2 linked regions of the Tamandua tetradactyla genome follow. The protein of the gene in region 1 interacts with the protein of each later gene in a pairwise test. Links are inferred from orthologs where the notes say so. Each region holds a gene or a part of one and is shown on either strand. Other genes may lie near its edges.

Region 1 (7,162 bases):
AAAATAAGAAACTTACTAGGTAAAATGTTTATAGAGTCTTAGATAAATCCCAAGGTAATCTTTAGGGTTTTCAGGAATACTGATGGTTGGGGCTTGGCATACTGTGACAATTCGTAATATCTGGCTGAAGCTTGTATAACAGTAACCTCCAGAATGACCTCTCGAATCTATTTGAAATCTCTCGGCCACTAAAACTTTAATTATTAATTGTATGCTGTATGGGGGGGGGTCACATTTAGTTATTTTTCCATGTGAGTATCCCACTACAACTTCACTTTTTTCCATTTCTTATCACCCCAAAAGGTAGTAGTTTAGAACAATGATTCATTGTTTTTCATGATAGTGTGGGTTGGCTGCAGAGTCTGAGATGGCCTCACTCATATTTCTGGGCCCTCAGCTAAATGGTTAGAATAGCAGCCTTGCCTCTCCACATGGTCTCTCATCTTCTAGGTGAAAAAGCTATGGTTCGGGCGGGCCGCGGTGGCTCAGCGGGCAAAGTGCTTGCCTGCTATGCCGGAGGACCTCGGTTCGATTCCCGGCCCCAGCCCATGTAACAAAAACGGAGAAACAGAATACAATAAAACAAGAAAAAATGTTTCCCTTTCTTCCTTCCTTCCTTCCTTCTATCCTTCCTTCCTTCTCTCTGTCTTTAAAGATGTTTCCCTTTCTTCCTTCCTTCCTTCCTTCTCTCTGTCTTTCCTTTAAAAAAAAAAAAAAAAAAAAAAAAAAAAAAAAAAGCTATGGTTCACAGTTGTCGAAACAGGTTTGCTGGCATTCAAGTCCCATCTTTCTTCTATGATTGCTGCATTCACTCTGAAGTTCATACCCCACATGTAAAGATGAGATACATCCATTCTATGCCTTTTAACTCATGTAGAGGGGTATACATGATATAAGAACAATTAATCTGTTCTATGTATACCAGATTAGGTATCAATTCAACATTTTCTGTGAAGTAAAATATTTTAGAAATGGAATGAATGGGCTATTTCTCTAGGTAGTGAGTCTCCCTTTACTGAAAATGTTCAAGCATCTTTGTGTCTGTTTTCTTCAGTGGTGTATCCCCAGAGCTTCGAACAGTGCCTGACACATAATAAACACCCAATAACTATCTTGTCTGAATGAATCAAGCATAAATGAAGCCCAAAATGGATGTTTCAAGTACCTTTTGATGTATAAGTAACCACCCCAAAAGGTAGTAGTTTAAAACAATGATTCATTGTTTTTCATGATAGTGTGGGTTGGCTGCAGAGTCTGAGATGGCCTCATTCATATTTCTGGGCCACCATCTAAATGGTTAGGATAGCAGGCCTGCCTCTCCACTGGTCTCTCATCTTCCAGAATATATAGCCCTGGCTCTTTCACAGGGCCTCAGCATTCCAAGAGGGCTAAAGAGGAAGCTGTGATACCTCTTTCTGTTAGACATGGAACTCACTCCCAGGGCATTTTATTTGTCAAGCAAGTCACAAAGCCAACTCAGAGGAGTAGGGAAATAGAAGACCCCTCTTGATGACAGTTGCTGCAAAGAGATTGCAGCCACTTTTAATCTACAGATGACCACCTTTTAAAAAACTCTGCAGGGAATTCTTGTAATGGGAGAGATTAGATAAACTGACTTCCCAGAGTCCTCCCATCTCTGAGATCTATGATTCTACCAGGCTGAATGGATCTTGTGCAGTGTTCTAAGACAGAACAGTTACTAACCAGTGGGTATTTGGAAAATTAAGCTACTCCTGGCAAAATGATTCCAAAGATAATTTGCTGAATAATTATTTTTAAACCACTAATATGATCTAGAATTTGTATTCTTTTCTTAACTATCCTAAACGCCCACTAGAACTTTCTTGTAACTAACTATACCTTTAATTTTGGTATAGCAGTCATATTCTCCTTTCTTTATGTTTTGTTAACCATTTTATGAACACTGGGTAAACTCCTGTTATTTAACCATCAAATGCTTAATATTTTAGAGGTCATTGAGATGAATAAGATAATTTTAGTCTTTCTTCTGCATCAGAAGAATGTTTATATTATTGTCCCAATATTCACTGCTATTAAAGTCATAAAGCTATCACATTTCTGTAATATATATTACATTCATACCTGCAAATTTTAATAAATTAAGAATATCCCTTTGAGACTGTTTTAGTAGGTACAGATATGGTACCGAGCTCATCTGAATGAAGATATATCATATAAGCAACTTACAGATGACATATGGAAATCCTTTGAAGTTTCCCATTAATGTGTTCCAGAACAAACATAGCAGGAAAAGCAGTATGGGAACGAATAAAATGCTAATAGCTTAATTTAGAAAAAGTTCATAGCATAAAAATAGTATGTTTTTGTATGTGTATACATTTAGTTGAAAATCATGTACATTTTAGATAATTTCTGACAAACACTTGAAACGTTAATATTTTAGAGTTGTATTTTAGTCATTATCACATGAGTCCGTTTTGTTTAAAATTTCTAATTTGGCATTCATTTACCAGCAAAATAAGCCTACTCTTCCTAGTCCCTTCAAAAAAGCAAAAACAAACAAGCTCAAAACAATTCACAATCAGCCTGTAGAAATAGATCCAGTTTATCTTTGTAGAACAATGTGCTAAGTCTTGCATGTGCCATTGATAATTAAATGACAAGGAAATCCTGTTCTACTTGTCCTTTTCAATACCCCAATTTAGCCTAGGATAAAATTAATTAGCTGGAGTTAAGAATTTGTTTAAATAACCAGTGATTGCCATTATTACTCTAGAGCTGTCCAAAAAAAAATGAGCCATGTGCATTTAAAATTTTCTAGTATCTGTATTAAAAAAGTAAAAAGAAACAAGTGAAATCGATATTTTACTTATCCCAATATATCAAAAATATCAGTTTCGACAGGTAACCTTACATAAATTTGTGAGACGTTTTCCATTCTTTTTGTTTGGTACTCATTCTTGGAATTTCAGTGTGCACATTACACTTACAACACATCTCAATTCTGACTAGCCACATTCCAAGTGCTCAATAGGTGCATGTAGCCAGCAACTGAATTTTGGACAGAGCTGCAACTACCTCACTGTAAGCAACTTGAAAGCAGGTGATCTTCCTCTCCACGGCCTAACAGAGTGGGCACCTCAGAAAGTTCAAAGGGCTCTCTAGATCTCTGGCTGATGACTCTTGTGTTCTGCAACTACTTTCTTTAAACTCTCCAGTTTTGGAAAAAGTGACCTGGGGGATCACGATCATTCCCGCTTAACAAACGAATGACTCTGGGGCTTTCTGACTCCCAGAAACGCCTGCATCATCTGAAATGTTGACTCATGAGCCTAAGGTGACTGAAAATGTAATGTGAACCAAATTTGCCTTCCGAGGCATTTTTCTGTGTCCACTTTCCTCCTCTCCTCTCTCTTAGGGTGACTCATCCTTCCATCATGTGAGAGTCAAGCAGCAGAGCCTAAAACCCTCTTGGAAGGACAGGAACGGCAATTTCAAATGGTGGTTCCCGGAGCTCCAGACCGTCCTCAGCTGTTGGCTTACCTCATGCCAACCTCTGCAGTTTAGACTGGGAGTGGTCTTAAAACTAAAAAAAAAAAAAAAAAAAAAAAAAAAAATTTAGGTGGCTTGGGAATTTGGGTTTAAAAAAGTATAATCTTTTATTTCAAAATCTTTAAAAATGTATATTTAAATTATGAGGGCCTACTTCACCATCCCGTTAGTTAATACCCCATTCTGGGTTTTTCTTTCCTGGCAGGAAAGTTTCCACTTCCCCCTCCCCCTTTCCCCGATAACGCCCTTCCGGTGGCGCGCCAGGAACCTCTCCAACCCCTCCGGGTCCGCAGCCCTTTCCCCTTCGCTCTACTCTAACGACAAACAAGACCTCGAACTGCCCTGCAAGGCCAAGACCCCACCCGGACCCACAATAACCCAAGGTGAGGGGCGAGGCTCACAGTCCCAAATCCCGCCCACCGAACCCAACCCCAGCCGGTAAGGGCAAGGAAGCGCAACAAGCCCCGCCTCCTCCCAGCACTTTCCCTTTCCGTTGGCCCGGCTGGTTGCCATCTTCTCCATCCCGGAGCCGATTGGCTCCCTTCCTCCCGCGCCAGACCCTGCTTCTCCCCTCCAGGGAGGTGAGTCACGCCAAACTGGGCGGAGAGTCTGCTGGCCTCTCTCCTTCGTTCATCTGGGCGGCGGCGGCTGCGAGAGGGGACGGGGTGGGTGGCGCATCACGGGCGCGGAGGCAGGAGGAGCAGTCTCATTGTTCCGGGAGCCGTCGCCACTGCAGGTCCCTCGGCTCGGCCGGCCCAGCCCCTCAGTCCTTCCCAACCCCCACAACCGCCCGCAGCTGTGAAAGAGAAGCGGCCCGCGCCGCGGCAGCTGCAGCAGCATCCCCGGTCCGCCAGCCATGGAAGACCTGGACCAGTCGCCTTTGGTCTCCTCGTCCGCGGACAGCCCGCCGCGGCCTCAGCCCCAGTTCAAGTACCAGTTCGTGACGGAGCCCGAGGACGAGGAGGAAGAGGAGGAGGAGGAAGAAGAGGACGAGGACGAGGACCTCGAGGAGCTGGAGGTGCTGGAGAGGAAGCCCGCCGCCACGCTGTCTGCAGCTCCAGCGCCCGCAGCTCCCGCTCCCCTGCTTGACATCGGAAATGACTTCGTGCCCCCGGCGCCCCGGGGACCCCTACCGGCAGCGCCCCTCGCCGCCCCGGAGCGGCAGCCGTCCTGGGACCCGAGCCCCGCGCGGTCCACAGTGCCCGCGCCGTCCCCGCCCACCGCTGCCGCAGCTTCGCCCTCCAAGCTGCCCGAGGACGACGAGCCCCCCGCCCGGCCTCCCCCTCCTCCCCCAACCGCCCTGAGCCCCGAGGCCGAGCCCGCGTGGACCCCTCCCGCCGTGGCCCCCGCCGCGCCCCCCTCCACGCCGGCCGCGCCCAAGCGCAGGAGCTCCTCGGGCTCCGTGGGTGAGTGCCGCGCCCTCCAGCCTCGCGCCCCTCCCTCTTTTGTGTGCCGCTCCTCTGAGCCCTGAGGGGGCTTTGTCTGCCGAGGTCTGGGTGAAGGCGCCCTCTCTCCCCCGGGAGGCGCGGGAAGAAGGGTGGGATGGCGGAGGAAGCCCGGGCTTGTTCTATTTGGTTTGTCTTGGTTTCGGGGAACCACGTGCACCCCGCGGGCTCCCGATGTTCTTCCCTCTGGTCCCCATTTCACTGCATCCCGGGGCTTGGGCCCCCACCCATCGTTGGAGCTGGGTGTGTGTCGAGCAACAAGGGTTGTGAGTTCGTTGGGCTGGCTTGGTTTCAGGGTAAGGTTGGGCAGGCCTTGGCGCCCCAAGCTTCTGGGAGGGGCTCTTGTCCACCCGTCTGGGTTGCTCCTCTAGGAAAAGGTGCAGCTTTCGCTGCCTGTCTATTGTAGTTCAGCCCTGGACCCCTCCCTACCCCTTCCCGGCGTGGGTGGCCCCCTTACGCTTTACCCCTCCCCCTCTTGCGCTTGTGGGGAGCTGGCCCACTGGAAAACGTCCACATTGACCCAGCCGCAGTGAAGGGAGAGCGCCTCCAGTGGTGTGGCGTGTGGAGAATGGGAAAGGAGAGAGAATTCTGGCTGAGTCCTGCCACCGCCCACCCCAGGTTGTGGTGTGGCGACTCCCCACAAAGCCAAACCAAAAACCAAGCCAGGGAAAGGGGATCTGAGCATTGGGTTCTATGGAGGCACAGTTCTGACAAGGTCTCAACTGCAGGGTTACAGGAATTAACTGTTACTGTGGACGGGTTCAACTTCTCGATGCACCTGAACTGAATCTTGGCGAAAAAAAGGAAAGGCAAAATGGTTGACATTCTTAAGAAAGAGGAAACCTGTGGATTCCTTGCTGGGAATCAGCCCGTTGACCTTGTGGCAGATTTACCGTGAGACCTAATGAAATGTATTGAGACCGACATTTTCATAAGTTGGTTAGAAATACTATTTCTTAGAAGTTAAATGTTTTAGGCTGACAAACACAAATCTAGGGTTTGAAAAAATGGTTTTCAAATCTTTAATTCGCATGACTAGCTGATTTTATGTTATTTTTATTTGGGGGAACATTGTTTTATTACATTCTTCATCTTAGAAAATTAGTGTGAAAGGAAAAAATTAAGTTTGTTAGTGATAGAGAAATTGATTAGATGCATTCATGAGTAACTTTTTGCTTTGGGGGATAGATTGCACTAGCAGTAGGACCTTTCTTTATAGATCAGGGATCAGGTAGCCTGTTGAGAAATGTCCATAGCCTTCTAGAATTTTAGGGGTGGTTCATTTTCTTGAAAAAGAAAATCAGTCAGATCACACAGTAGTTTTTTTTTTTTTCCTTCATTTCACTCCTGTTCCACAAAGCGGAAATAAACCGATTGTGATGATGCTTTTGAATAACGTAACAACATTTTGATATTGACAATAGCCCAAAGCACTACTCAAAACATTCATCAGTACACTAAAGGTCTTAGAAGATGAGTAACTCAACCATTCTTTTTTCTGTATGACAAAGATATCTATGAGGGAAAGTAAGGTGAAGTAGAAAAATATAAAATTATAAGAAATTTGCGGAAAGGAAACTTAAAAGCATGTTAACTTGTTATTTTGGATTCCTGCTTGGGAACTAAGAATTCTGTTCTTTGAATAGTGGGAATATAGGAGGTGACAGCATTCTCTTGGAATCTTGACTGTTGGAATCCTAAATTTAGAAGATAGAGGAGAGAATATTGCCTGTTCAGGAACTCTGTTTCTACATAGTTCCTAATTCTTTATCGATGATATTTCTTTGGAAACTTTTTGTTCCTTTAGTAAATGCAGGAACATTACAATTTTGGTCATGGATAATTAAACCCATTTCTTTGAGTCCAGATTTCTTAACAGTTTGTGGGTTCATTCAGCAAATTATTGATTACTTCCTAAGAAAGAAACACTGTTCTAGGTTCTTGAGGTTGGCAATAAACTTTAGACACTTGCACTCCCATATTGGGTTACAGATAATAAGCATACAAATAAGAAACTCAGAATAGTGTTAAGTGCTATGAAAAAAGTAATCAGGGTGATGGAGCATCATGTAGATGTGTGGGAGCTTTTTTAGGTAGGCTGACATTGAGAAAAGCCTTTTTGAGGAGTGAACTTGAGCTGTGGAGATCAAAAATGTTCCAAGCATCTCCTGGGGCAAAGGCCT
Region 2 (8,156 bases), on another chromosome or scaffold:
AGACTGACCTCTGATGCCCCAGCACCCCCTAGAAGCCGAGGATACCCCATGGCTAAGAGCACCCTCCCTTTGAGGGGGAGGCATCCTGTAAGTGAAACTGCTGGGATTAAAACCCCAGCCCTTGAGCCCCCAGTCTTGGGGTTTGTTCATATGAAATTTAACCCCACAGGGGATAGGTCAAGCCTACTTAAAATTAGGCCTAAGAGTCACCCCCAAGAGAGTCTCTTTTGTTGCTCAGATGTGGCCTCTCTCTCCAGCCAACACAACAAGCAAACTCACCACCCTCCCCCTGTCTACGTGGGACATGACTCCCAGTGGTATGGGCCTTCCTGGCAACGTGGGACAGAAATCCCAGAATGAGCTGAGACCCAGCATCAAGGGATTGAGAAAACCTTCTCGACCAAAAGGGGGAAGAGTGAAATGAGGCAAAGTGTCCATGGCTGAGAGATTCCAAACAGAGTCGAGAGGTTATCCTGGAGATTATTCTTGTGCATCAAGTAGGTATCATCTTGTTATTCAAGATGTAATGGAGAGGCTAGAGGGAACTGCCTGAAAATGTGGAGCTGTGTTCCAGTAGCCATGTTTCTTGATGATGACTGAATAATGATATAGCTTTCACAATATGATTGTGTGATTGTGAAAACCTTGTGTCTGATGCTCCTTTTATCTACCTTGTCAACAGATGAGTAGAACATATGGAATAAAAATAAATAATAGGGGGAACAAATGTTAAAATAAATTTAGTTTGAAATGCTAGTGATAAATGAAAGCGAGGGGTAAGGGATATGGTATGTACAATCTTTTTTTTTCTCTGTTATCGTTTTATTTCTTTTTCTGTTGTCTTTTTCTTTCTCTGAACTGATGCAAATGTTCTAAGAAATGATGAATATGCAACTATGTGATGATATTGAGAATTACTGATTACATATGGAGAACGGAATGATATGTTAATGATGTTTTTGTTTGTTTGTTCTTAATTTTTTAAATAAATAAATAAATAAAAAACCTGGCCTTTGTCTTTGATGATAGAGACTCACCTAAACTATTTTGGGTTAAAGTAACTATATTTAAAAACCATTAAAGAATATATACCTTTCAAAGGACTCATATCCAGAATATATAAAGAAGTCCTACAAATCAATATTTAAAAGACAAAAACAAAAAGTCAACTTTTTAAAAGTGAACAAAATACCTGAACAGGCACCATCCACAAAATACAATATTTGAATAGCCAATAAGATTGTGAAAATACACTCATTATTCATCAGAGATATGCTCAAATTAATACTCCAATGAGATATTACTCAGGAATAGCTTGAATTTAAAGATACTGAGTATAAAATGGTACAACTACTTTGGAAAACTGGTGGTTTCTAAGAAAGCTACACGTATGTCTGGCCTACGACCCAGCAATTCCACTCCTAAGCATCTACAAGGGCAAATGAGTGTATATGTCCCCCAAAAGATCTGTACTCAACTTTATTCATAATACCTAAAACATTTTTAGAAACTAAATGTTCAACAGCAGAAAAAAAAGAAAAGAAAAACATGGTATATTCATACGAAAAGACCACTAAGCAGCCATTTAACAAAAACAAAAACTTCTTAAAACATGCAATAATATGGACAAATTCCAAAAACATCAATAGAGTGAGAAAGTCAGGCACAAAAGACGACTTGTTAATTGAGTCACATTCATCTGAGGTTCAAGAACTCGCAAAAGTAATCTATGGTAACAGAAGTCAGAACCACAGGGGTTACCTCTTGGGGAGGGGGGCTGCTGATGAGAGAAGGGTACAGGATTTTAATGGGGTGATGGTTTTTGCACTGATGCAGACATACGTAAAAATGTATCGAGCTGTACACTTAAGATCTGGGCATATTCGTTTACGTAAATTATGTCTCAATTTTAAAAATTTAAAAATCGAAACACAATAATAATTTCATTGAGGTACACCAGCAAGAAACTAGCTGCAAAGGTTCATATGAAGAAGGTTCATATTAAGTAGGAAAAAAATCAAAGTTGTATGTTACTTGCTCTGAAAGTCCAACAAAAAGACAAAAAAAAGTGACAGTCCATGACACAACCTTCCCAACCCCCAATCCATTCTTCTAAGTATCTACCTAAAATGACTACCTAGAATGACCACTTGCATTTTTTAAAGCATGGACAAGATTATAAGATATGGGAACAGCAAAAATAAACAAGGAGGAAGATTCTGCCTTTGGATTGCTTTGGTCGTGTCTTTATGGTTTTACTCCACTTTAACAGTTAATTAACGAATGCACCAGTTTAATAATCACCCAGTTCAAAATTCTAAAGGTACAAAAATATATACAGTGAAAAATCTCCTAACTACTATCAACCTCCTTCTTCTCCTAAAAGGTCTCAATTGTTACCTGCATCCTTTTAGAAATATTCTGTTATACTGTTTCCTTCATGTTTTCTTCTACCGTCTCTCTACATGCTTATAATATTCTTGCTTCGAATAATGAACTTCGGTCTTTACTGACTTCCTGCTATGACCGTTGAAGAAAGACTTATTCCTTAAATCCCTTTTAACTGTATGAGTTTTGTTAAACCACAAACAAGGCTTATTAATAAAAAGAGTTAAACTCTTTAAAAGGCTTTTAAGTAAAATAAATAAATAAATAAATACAAATGAAAACCTATTCTAAGAGATCGGAGAACTAGCTAATCTTTGCGTTAAGACAGAGTTTTCATGTTAATTCAGATAAATTCCCAGCCCGACACCCGTACACCACGCGTTGGGCGTGGCCACCCACACCTCGCCGGACTGGGAACTGCGGGCCACGCCCTTTTAAAAAGGGCAGCGCCCTCCCAGGTCCCCGCCTCCTACACCACCCCCCACCCCGTGGTTAAAAAAGTAAAGGATGGCTCTTGCCGCAAACCCTCCTTAAAGGGGAAATACACTTCAGTCGTCTGAAAAGGGAGCCGTCTGCAGCTCCACGCCTTAAGGTAAAACACGGGCCCACTCTTGTTAAAGTGGTAAAGCTCCCCGCTGGGCCCCACCTCACCTGCGCGGTCACTTTGTACTCGGTGTAGCCTTTGGGGTGGGTCCGGGGGTCGGAGACTGAGTAGTGCCGCAGGAAGTCGTCCTTCGCCTGGCGGGACATGGCAGCCGAGCTGGAGCGGAGTTCACCGCCGACCTCCGCCTCCTCTACGGCGCCCCCTCCCCTCCGGGGCGGTCTCTGCCCGCCGCCGCCTCTCCCGGGCCTGCGCCCTTCAGCCTCGGGCCTAGGGAGCTGGTCGCAAGTGACAGTTCTGCTCCGGTACCGGGCGCGCGGCCAAGGGAGCGTCTGAAAAGTTATCGGTCATTGAAGGAGCGTAAACTTGCGTAATTTGACAATAAGGATTGGGGAGGTTCTCTGATCCGCGCTCTCTGCTTAGTGATCGAGCCCCTCCTAGGGGGCGTGAACCCTCATCACCCACCCCTAAATGGCTTCTCCGCTTCCCAGTTCCCTTCCTTCATCGGTTCACTTTCACTGTGTCTAGATTGTGCCAAACATAACCAAATTATTCTTCTGCTTCCCTCTACAAAATTCGCTAATCCACCTTCTCTGCAAGGTGGGGGAAGCAAAGAGAATACGTTCACAATAGAACCTTCTTTGTTGGCTTGCCCACCATTCACCCCCACCTCCTTTGGTTAGTACCATGACACCCAATCTTTGTGTAAGATACATAGGCCTCCAGCCTCCTCCCCCAGAACCCAAAGATGCCAGCACCTTATCTTGCCCCAGACAGCACTTGCTACCTGTCCTGGGGGGCATGGCTGTGGTCACCCCGTGTCCTGAGGTTTGAATTTTGTGAGTCAGAGCACAGCACCCTGGCAAGGGGATCACTGGTTTCTGGAGAAGTTCCAGCTGTGGACCTGGCTGCACAGCCTCTGGAACACTCTGCTTCCCTTGCCTGGGCTCCTGACCCGCACTGGGAGCTCCTTCCTGCAAAAGGGTGCTGGAATCTGCGTCTGTGTCTGGCTTTCAAGGACCCCGATTAGATGTCCCTACCCACCCAGTGAGGTTTAAATGCCATAGTTGGGTGACACCCTCAAAGAAGAGCTGCTCTCCTTGCTGCTGGAAAGCAGCCTCCAGAAAGAAACACAGAACTCAGGCAGAAAGCTTCCAGGGTGAGAACAAGCCGCAAAAATCAAGGTGTAGATGCTGAGCTGCAACCTGGACAACTACTTCCGTCCATGAGACAAAGTTGGACTTAAAGAGAGTCCTGAGAAACTGTGATCCTGCCTTATACCCTTTTGAGGTTCCACGAGAATATGGAAGAGTTTTAAATGCTACCAAACTAGAATGGGTATTTGCAGAAACATTTCTTGCCTGCCTGGATGGTCACTGAGATGGAATCGGTTGTTTGGCAAAGCATCCAAAGAGTCTGGCTGTTTCTGGGGCATGTGATGGAGAGGTTAGAATTTGGAACTTGGCTCAACGAAAATGTATCTGTATAGTACAAGTGCACGAAGGTTTCGTACGAGGAATATGTGCTCGCTTTTGTGGGATTTCTTTTTTCGCTATTGGTGATGACAAAACTGTGATGCACTGGCAAGTGGATGGCATGGGCTGTGGAGAAGAGGAGGAGCTACTGAATACAGTGTTAGAAAAGATAATGTATACCGGAATTGATCATCACTGGAAAGAAGCTGGTTTTGCCGCATGATGAAACCCAGTGGACATTTGGGATGAACAAAGAACCAATCCTATATATCCAATGGTCTGGGGATGTGACAGTATAAGTAGTCTTAAATTTAACCCAGTTGAGACATTTCTCTTGGGAAGTTGTGCTTCTGGCAGAAATATAGGACTATATGAGGCAAGCCACTCTTCTGAAAAAGGTTGTCTGAGATATGAAAACAAGTACAATCTGTTGGAACCCTATGGAGGCTTTCATTTTTACTGCAGCTAATGAAGATTACAATTTATATACTTTCGATATGCAGGCACTTGACATGCCTGTAATGGTACATAAGGACCAGATATTTGCAGTGCTTGATGTGGATTACTCTCAGTTCTAGTTTGCTAGCTGCTGGAACGCAATATACCAGAAATGGAACTGCTTCTAAAAGGGGGAATTTATTAAGTTGCAAGTGTACATGTTCTAAGGCTGTGAAAATGTCCCAGTTAAAGCAAGAAATGTCCAAATTAACAAGAGGTTACCTTCACTCAAGAAAGGCTGATGACGTTCAGGGTTTCTCTTTAACTGGAAAGGCACATGGCCAACATGGCAACGTCTACGAGCTTTCTTTCCAGGCTTCTTGTTTCATGAAGCTCCCCCAGGGGCATTTTCCCTCTTCATCTCCAAAGGTCTTTGGCTGTGTGGGCTCTCGTGGTTCTCATGGCTCTGAAGCTTTTTTTCCAAAGTGTTTCCTCTTTTAAAGGATTCCATAAACGAATCGAGCCCCACCTGGAATGGGTGGAGTCACATCTCCTTCTCATCAAAGGTTAACACCCACAATTGGTTGAATCACATCTCCGTGGAGATAATGTAATCACGTTTCCAACTAACAGTGCTGAATAGGGCTTAAAAGAGAGCTGCCTCCATAAGATTGGGCAAGGCTTTTCTAGGGTACATAAGCCTTTCAAACCAGCACATTCTTCTACTGGGAAAGAGTTTGTGTCTGCTCGCTTTGATAAATCTATTCGAGGTGGGGAAGTTTATCGCACAAAGCGAATGCAGCATGTTATCTGCATAAAATGAACTTCCGACAGCAAGTACATTATGTGTGCACCTGAAGAAATGAACATTCCTCCGTGGAAAGCGTCTGCAAAGTTGGGTGTGCTGATATCACGAGAAAAAGCAGCCAAGGATTATAATCAGAAATTGAAGGAGAAATTTCAACGTCATTCTCAGATAAGACATATAGCTCGTCACCGACAGCTACCAAAATCTAACTCCAGCCAGATTGTGAAAGAAGCTCCTGGAGGAAAGGCAGTGAATCGTCACAAATATAGCAAGCCTGGGTCTGTGCCAATTGTGTCAAAGAAACACATAGTGGCAATTGTGAAATAATATTTGATTTTCCTCCCAATCCTAATGTATAATTATTTGTTAGATATGGGTGTGTAAACTCTAGAAATAAAGGTACTGGCTCCAGTTTGATATCAGACATTTCAGTTATATGTGCAGAACTTTATCATTGCTCATTTTAGCTACCCTGAAAAACTATCCTTTAAAGTGACCTGTTGTAACCTACACAATGGGAGACAATATTTGGAAATGACATATCAGATAAAGATCTAGTATCCAGAATTTATAAAGAGATTGTTCAACTCAACAACAAAAAGACAGCAAATCCAATTACAAAATGGGAAAAAGACTTGAACAGACACTTCTCAGAAGAGGAAATACAAATGGCCAAAAGGCACATGAAGAGATGCTCAATGTCCCTGGCCATTAGAGAAATGCAAATCAAAACCACAATGAGATCTCATCCCACACCCACCAGAATGGCCATTATCAACAAAACAGAAAATGACAAATGCTGGAGAGGATGTGGAGAAAGAGGCACACTTATCCACTGTTGGTGGGAATGTCAAATGGTGCAACCACTGTGGAAGGCAGTTTGGCGGTTCCTCAAAAAGCTGAATATAGAATTGCCATATGACCCAGCAATACCATTGCTAGGTATCTACTCAAAGGACTTAAGGGCAAAGACACAAACGGACATTTGCACACCAATGTTTATAGCAGCGTTATTTACAATTGCAAAGAGATGGAAACAGCCAAAATGTCCATCAACAGACGAGTGGCTAAACAAACTGTGGTATATATATACGATGGAATATTATGCAGCTTTAAGACAGAATAAACTTATGAAGTATGTAACAATATGGATGGACCTTGAGAACATTATGCTGAGTGAGACTAGCCGAAAACTAAAGGACAAATACTGTATGGTCTCACTGATAGGAACTAACATTAGTGAATAAATTTGGAATATTTTGTTGGTACCAGAGACCATCAGGAGATAGAAATAGGGTAAGATATTGGGTAATTGGAGCTGGATTGAATGGTATAATCTAGGAATGCCTAGAGTGTATAATAATACTGACTAAATGCACATATTTTAAAAATGTTTTTGCAAGAGGAAGAACAAAGGAATGTTATTATTGCAGGGTACTGAAAATAGATGGTAATTAATATTTTAAAAGGTCACCGTATGTGTGAGACTAAAGCAAAAAATGTTTGTTACAAAATTTATATTTTGACTAGTGCATTTCCTAATATAACTTATGTAGATAGTTTGATTGAACACCATAAGAACTTGGAATCTCAGGTAGGACATGAGATTTTGTTGGTTTGTCCAGAGTGATGCCCCGATGAATCCCAGAGTGATTTGATCAGTGAGTGGAAAAGTATTTGCAAAGCCCCCTTCGGGGAATGGTGAGAACGAGGAGAAATTCAACTTCCCCAAGTTGAATTCTTGATATTCTCACAAGCAGTGTGGACAACCAAAGCTATAGGCTGAGCCCCCAGTCTTGGGGTTCGTTCATATGAAACTTAACCCCACAAAGGATAGGTCAAGTCTACTTAAAATTTAGGCCTAAGAGTCACCCCTAAGAGAGCCTCTTTTGTTGCTCAGATGTGGCCTCTCTCTCCAGCCAACACAACAAGCAAACTCACCACCCTCCCCCTGTCTACGTGGGACATGACTCCCAAGGGTGTGGACCTTCCTGGCAATGTGGGACAGAAATCCTAGAATGAGCTGAGACTCAGCATCAAGGGATTGAGAAAAACCCTAGAATGAGCGGAGATTTAGCATCAAGGGATTGAGAAAACCTTCTCCACCAAAAGGGGGACGAGTGAAATAAGACAAAGTGTCAATGGCTGAGAGATTCCAAACAGAGTCAAGAGGTTGTCCTGGAGGTTCTTCTTACACATTAAGTAGATATCACTTTGTTATACAAGATGTAATGGAGAGGCTGGAGGGAACTACCTGAAAGTGTAGAGCTGTATTCCAGTAGCCATGTTTCTCTGGATGAGTGAATAATGATGTAACTGTCACAATGTGACTGTGTGATTGTGAAAACCTTGTGTCTGATGCCTCTTTTATCTACCTTGTCAAGAAACAAGTACAACACATGGAATAAAAATAAATAATAGGGGGAACAAATGTTAAAATAAATTT

Evidence for each region.
Region 2: the proteins of RTN4 (region 1) and SNX15 interact in binary tests that used the Homo sapiens proteins (3 or more experiments, as listed by UniProt). The two-hybrid records come from large-scale screens. The link is inferred for Tamandua tetradactyla from reciprocal best matches to the Homo sapiens genes RTN4 and SNX15.

What each region holds. Positions count from the first base shown.
Region 1 is NC_135343.1:27,393,889-27,401,050, reverse strand, and holds the start of RTN4 (reticulon-4), read left to right. Parts: upstream 1-4,105; 5' UTR 4,106-4,390; coding exon 4,391-4,940; intron 4,941-7,162. UniProt on the Homo sapiens protein: Required to induce the formation and stabilization of endoplasmic reticulum (ER) tubules. They regulate membrane morphogenesis in the ER by promoting tubular ER production.
Region 2 is NC_135335.1:9,539,528-9,547,683, forward strand, and holds the start of SNX15 (sorting nexin-15), read right to left. Parts: upstream 3,274-8,156; 5' UTR 3,139-3,273; coding exon 3,040-3,138; intron 2,596-3,039; exon of another isoform or gene 2,407-2,595; coding exon of another isoform or gene 2,401-2,406; intron 1-2,400. UniProt on the Homo sapiens protein: May be involved in several stages of intracellular trafficking. Overexpression of SNX15 disrupts the normal trafficking of proteins from the plasma membrane to recycling endosomes or the TGN.